Linked DNA regions of Saccharomyces cerevisiae S288C. The protein of the gene in region 2 purifies or fractionates together with the protein of the main gene of each other region. This does not show direct contact. Each region holds a gene or a part of one and is shown on either strand. Other genes may lie near its edges.

Evidence for each region.
Region 1: the proteins of PMP1 (region 2) and AIM14 purify together in Saccharomyces cerevisiae (affinity purification with mass spectrometry, with the first as the bait; one large-scale study listed by BioGRID). This does not show direct contact.

The regions. Positions count from the first base shown.
Region 1 is NC_001139.9:198,774-202,837, reverse strand, and holds AIM14 (putative metalloreductase), read right to left. Parts: upstream 2,278-4,064; coding exon 565-2,277; downstream 1-564. Other genes in the region: YGL159W (uncharacterized protein), read right to left, coding at 1-117; YIP5 (Yip5p), read left to right, coding at 2,696-3,628; SUT1 (Sut1p), read right to left, coding at 3,801-4,064. UniProt on the Saccharomyces cerevisiae protein: Probable cell surface metalloreductase. May be involved in iron or copper homeostasis.
Region 2 is NC_001135.5:162,397-165,034, reverse strand, and holds PMP1 (proteolipid ATPase), read left to right. Parts: upstream 1-1,967; coding exon 1,968-2,090; downstream 2,091-2,638. Other genes in the region: nucleotide diphosphatase/phosphodiesterase NPP1, read left to right, coding at 1-924; YCR025C (uncharacterized protein), read left to right, coding at 1,179-1,589; YCR024C-B (uncharacterized protein), read left to right, coding at 2,170-2,436.

The DNA.
Region 1 (4,064 bases), on a different chromosome or scaffold from region 2:
TTGAGAATATAATCTCAATGACTCGTGCAAGCTGAGAAGAGATTCAATAATTGTTTGAGAAGAGCAGTTTAAGTAAAACTCTCTAACCTCATCATCAGTAATTATGGAATTGTTCATATCAGTTGAATCAGTTGCCAGATAACAATAGCTAAAGAGATGATAGATATCAAAAAGAGCCGATAACGTTGGCCAGTAAATTATATTTGATTTTTAGAGGACATGGCCACAGGCCGAGCTTTTCGATCCTTTTTCCTACTGCCCTCTTGAAATATAAACCGAGAACAACAAGAAAAGAAGCTTTTTGCTAATGTAGCTCCCAATTTTTTTGCAGACAGCCTCCATTTTAAAACGATCATCTCTAATATATCTCCATTTACCGATTAATAATGCGTACAACCTGTCAAGTGTATTCTAATAGCCGCGCAAGAAAGCATATAAACTAAAGGTCATTAAAAAACAGATATGTATTTTTTGTTTTCTATATACTATAAATTAGCATCTAATGTCGTGGAATATCATTTCCGAGCATATTGCGTAAGACATTATTATTCTTTTCTTTTCCCCTCATAATCCGTAAGTCTCACAGACAAAGTTGATCCTTTCATCGTTACAATATTTTTTAGACAATTGTAATAACGAGGGAGGACCACATGAAAACAACCATGTTTCATTTTGGTTCACTTGTGCACTTTCATTGTTGAAGCTCTTCAATTCGTTGGAAAGAGTAAAACTGTGTTTGGATTTTACCTCGATCATGCTTCCATTCTCTTTTGTGGGGCTATGACTTGTCTCTGGCGTATTGTCATTGCTGTCCGCATTTTCTGAATTGAAATTAGAAATCGAAAGGTCTTCGTCTTCATTGTTGAAAGATCCCATTTCATATTCTGAGTTTTCATCGTCGATATTGGTCGTAATTTCGTCTAACCGTGTTTCCGCCGTGTATTCTCCACTAATAAATACTGAAATCCTCTTATTATTCGAGAGTTTTTTCTCAAAAGTCAACCCATTTGTCTTGAGATAATCCAAAACAAGTTCATATTCAGAGTAATCTTTTATCAGCCAGATCATTTTCAAGTATTTTACATTCTCCTTGTTAAAAAAATGCCTAAATAGTGGTAGGGCAAAAGATATACCAGACCCACCACATATAATAGCTATATTCGTGCCTTGAGAATAACATTCTTCGGGTACAGAGGGAGGATAACTATTAATCAAAGTATAGGTTTTTTCTTGATCTAAATGAAAGGATTTTGGATTACTACGAAGAGACTCTATCTGGCTACCTGGCTCGGCTGTAGAGGTTTCCTTTATAATAAGATCAATTGAATTGTCTTCTGCCAAAGACGCAATTGTGTATGGATGCGATGGTAGCAACCAATAGAGGGGATTAATTCTTCTGTAAGGGCTTATTCTAATATGCGACCCTGGTTCAAAATAATCTGGAAGAATAGCCCTGGGCAATCTTACATGGACTAAATTTGTTTTTGAATAATTCGCATTCTTATTCAAAATCATCAAGGATTTCGCAAATACTATTCTATTGATAATATGAATGAATAATAGGGTACAGTTTAGTAGAAGAAATGGGAACTTAACACCTGGCCTAGAGTGTATTGGGGTGAGTAAGATGAAGGCCACGTTCACCAGGTTATGTACGATGTAAAACAAACGATAGTTGTATCTTCTCATTGGCCCAATCGAGCAAATAAGTAAAAAAAGTACCAATATTGATATTATGAATCCCGCAAAATTGAAAGTTTTCAGAATCAATTTTTGCTTTAGAGAGACATTATCGTCTATCGCCCACTTAATGATGAAGAAAATCCCATGAAGCAAACCAATCACGGTGATAATACGTGAAAACCATTTATGGAACGGTATAAAATCAGTGTAGGTGCAATTTTTCCTAAGGAACCAATTAGGCCTTAAAGTGAGGAATAGGTTCAGCGGGATCAAGGCGTAACTCAACCTCCCTAATCTTTTGAGATAGACCGTAGATTGGGTAGTCAAAGAGTAATGGTAATAAAATGGAATCAAGACTGCAAAAAACAATATACCTAAGTGAATTGCAGGATCTATATCATACAACCGATAAATTATCTTATTTTTGAAAGCTGACGACGATCTGGATGGGGTTCTCCTTCCGAAAGCTCTCAAAAGAGCCAATCCAATGAGATAGACCAATGATATTATCAACACATAATACCCATACTTGATATTGGCAAAATGTGTCTCGGAATGTCTTTTAACCAACGTTATGAGAGGGGATTCTTTCATATTTATTGGAAGGCTTACCAAATTAGAAGTTTCTGGCGACGAGATATGGAAAATGTAGTTTTTAAATAACACGTCTACAATATAAGGAAGGAAAAGTCAAAATATTTTAGCGCCTTTAAGTGCGGTTGAGACCCCATAGTAGTATCCCTACAAATAATAGTTAAACTGTATTTTCAATACATAACGTAACAGTATATCGGTATTACGGAGCAGCGATCAATTAAACGCTATTTACCCGGCTGTGTATTATACCTAATTTCTCAAGCAGTGAAAATGTATCAACGTCCTACGCTCAAGGTAAAAGGGGCCAAGGGCAGCGACCACATTGGATCCAAACGCATTGGTTCTGTAGTTCTTTTTTACGCTTCATCCACGATTGTATACTAGCAAATAGGATTGACTCGACAAAAGCAGAAAAATGCCGTCCAATAATAGCAGTTTTTTAGATATTGACGATGATCTCGAGGGTGTAGATGATTTTGGCAACGAGCCCAACCCATTTGATGATGCCACCGTACCTGATAGCCCAAACATGAATAACTCGACTGCTGGAAAGGGTAGCGAATTTTATAACACAACGGGCAGTAAGGCAGAATCCGCACCATTACAGGGTCAAATGGACCCACCAGCGTACGACCAAGTGATAGGACAGAATGACAACGACGGTCTTGGGCGTAATGGATTGAGGCCAGGATTGATAAACTACTATTCTAAATACTTCCAGATCGATTTGACGCAGTTCAAAAAGAGATTGTCCGCGGTACTGACGTTTAGAAACGATCATAATTCCGAAAGTAACGAAGATAACACTGATTTATACGGTGCTGTATGGATCACTGCCACGGTGGTAATGATCAATTTTACCATGAGTAGGGGGTTAAATTTTATTATCAGTGACGTAATTGAGGGCGTCAAGACTGGTGAGGACATCGACAGGGCCAGTCAGTTTAAGAAGCTACTGCATTCTATTTGGCTATTTTACGGGTACACGTTCGGCGTACCATTTATTACCATGCAAGTATTGAATAGAGATGAGCACTCGGAGCGCAATAGAAGCTTCAAAAGTGTTCCTGAATTGATTTCCGTTTACGGGTACGCTAACTTGATCTGGATACCCGTTTGTGTTATATTGAATATATTGGATATGTCCAAGCGCCTGAGGACTGTTCAAGCAATTCAATGGGCAATTGTGGCTCTTGGGTGGGCACAGTCGTCTTATTTCTTGAATTCTCAAATATCGAGTAATAATAATACGGAGACACAATCGAACGGGAAATTTTCGCTGTCCATCATCGTTGTCGTTGCGCTGCATACTTTATTCTGTCTATTGTTCAGGTTTATAATATTTTGAAAATATGCGCACGTCTATACACACAATACTTTTTATGACTAGTATCATTGTATACTCTTATTATGTAGGGTTATACATGAGTGTTTATACGTTTTCTGTGTGTACATATATATCCATATATGTTAATGCTAAATGCAAGTTTTGTGATGCTATTCATTAGAGATGCCTTTGTCTAAAAATCAATGCTTTTATAGTCATCATAGGTTATGTCGTAAATGGTTTTATCCTTAAATTTTAAGGAGATTTTGGATGAAATGTTTATGTCAGCTCTGGTAAAGCCTTTTGAAAAAGTACATTTATCATTTTTTGGGAAATTAGTGGAAGAAGAAGAATGCTTTTTCTTAATGCATGGTAAACAAGGTGTGAGCAAAACCAACTTATCAATATGCTTAATCAACTTGCGTGAGCCTGTACCCTCAATGACATCATCCGGTAT
Region 2 (2,638 bases):
GAAAAATTGAGGAAGGATTATGTATCGCACGCATATCTAGAGGGTCCGATGATGGCTATATCGTTGAAAGATTCCGGAAACATCAATGAGGTTTACCACAATTTAAAGACTTCTATAGATGAAGACAAGTATACGGTTTACGTTAATGGAAATTTCCCCAAAGAATGGAACTTTAATGATGGAAAAAATCATCACATGGCGTCAATCTGGATTGTGCCCGAGCCTGGGTATGCAGTGATGAAGAAAGAACAATTGAAGAAGGTGGCAAAAGGTGATCATAAGGACAAAAACGAAGACAATGTGTTCACGATTGGATCACATGGATACGACAATAACGCGATCGATATGAGATCTGTATTTATTGGTATGGGGCCATATTTTCCACAGGGATACATTGAGCCGTTCCAAAATACCGAAATTTACAACCTTTTGTGTGATATTTGCGGTGTGGCAGAAAAGGACAGAAATTCCAATGATGGGACTGGGATGCTTATGAACCAACTCCGCGAACCCCAGAGCAGCGAAGAAGTAGAGATTGAAGATGACTTTGATTATTTGGTCAGTAAGTTTGGTGAATTCAGCACTTATAATATAATTTGGGGCGGGTACCCCGAAGAGACAGAACAAGACAATGTTGACAATGATAATGATGACAACGACGATGGAAACACTGATGAAATAGCCGCTATGCCATCTTCGTCATTAACGATAAAACTAGAAATGACAACTTCAATACCATCAGCAACTGAGACTCTACTGGGCGAAACATCACCATCATCAAGAAGCAGCAGCAGCAGCAGCATACAAGCTAGCGCTACTGCTAGCACAGTGGGGGATTGGCTTCAAGACATAATCAACGACGCAAAAGATCTCATTGACGACATAATTGACAGCATCGACGATTTAGTCGATTCTGATACCTAAGCTTAAGGTGGGACAACCGCGTTATGAAATAAAAGACGCATCCTTGTGAGTCCCGCGCAAGAAAACATATGCACGCAGAAAGAGACTTTTATTTAGATTTAGTATATCTCTAAACTTAATTCAGAAGTGAACCACTCTCTCACATCCGATGACAGTGGGGTCAATAAGATGTACTAAGTAAGAAAACTAATTACACAATAAAAAGAAACAAGCTGAAACTAGGCGTGTTAACTCTTTCCTAAACGAGGAGGTTTATGTCGTCATTTGGACATCGAGCATTTTTCAGCTGTTGTCCTTTACTAGAAGGAGAAACTTTGCATTCAATAAAATTGCGCAAAGAGGCAACATACCAAACTCAATCCGGGTGGCCGGTTCGATGGCCGATTCGGTATCCGCGCGCACTTCCCCTAGAATCCCACGTGCACCCATACCATATGATCGTTAAATTACCGCACCCACGCACCCAACCGCGGCTGTTTCTATGGCTGTCGTTGCATTGGACAGGAATTCCTTTTTTGGGAAAGCCGGGAATAGGTCGCAATCGGGTAAAATCAAAACAATTTTCGCATTTCCAACAGAGTAAAATCAAAACAACTATGAGAAAAAAAACAACAAACAGAAAGCAGAAAGCAGAAAGATGTCAATATAGACTTGTCACTGCGTAATAGAAGATAGCTTCAATTTTTTCCGATAATAATTTCCCATTTTTTTTTTTCAAATTTAGCCTTCCGTGCTTGCCAGTATATAAAGCTTTGAAAGCAATTTATTGTTTCTCTTGTAATCTTAACTTCCCTTTTTTTCTCTTATTGCGTCTTATCTTCCTTTAGAGTTTTTCATTACTACCCTTTTTCCATTTATTCTTTTTCCCTTTCAATAGTATTTAAAGGAAGACGCTACACACTTTGAAGGAAGAGCAAATAAGTTAACTTTTTCATCTCTTTTTTTTTCTCAACTTCAAACTAGTCACTCAAGCAAACTTTTGTTCCTACATATCCTTTGTTTGTTTCTCCTCTTCCCATTTCAGCACTTTTAATCTATCATAAATGACTTTACCAGGTGGTGTTATTTTAGTTTTCATTTTGGTCGGTTTGGCTTGTATTGCCATTATTGCTACCATTATCTACAGAAAATGGCAAGCTAGACAAAGAGGATTGCAAAGATTCTAAAAAGGGCGGAGCGAGCCATTTTATTTCCTGTCCCCTTCATCTTTGTTTATATCCATTCTAGAACATGAATTAGACTACTATGTGTGTGTGTGCGATACCCTTTTTTGAATTCTTTCTACCTTTTATCCCTCACTATGCCTTTCTTTTATTTGTTTCGTCCGTTCGCTTTACTGTAAATGAACGTTGTTACTACTTAGTGTGCGTGCTCAAGTTGAATTGTGCTTTTTTTTTTATGGTTATGATATTTGAACTAAAACGAGTGTGTGTTTCGTATTTAGACAGATCCCGTAAAATCCAAATTGTTAGCTTTTTTCCTTTTATCACTATTATTTTTTTCCACTCTTAACAATGTGTGTGATTGTTAAGTCTGGCTGATGACTCCTCATGATAACTCATGTGTGTGTAAAATTGAGTTTTTCATGGTTGTTTTCAAAGATAAATTACATAGTAGTGTAATCAAAATAGTGTATGATTTTTTTTTATTTTTAGAAAATCTAAATAATAAATAAATAAAAAATAAAATACAATCCTTACAGAGATTAGGCCGT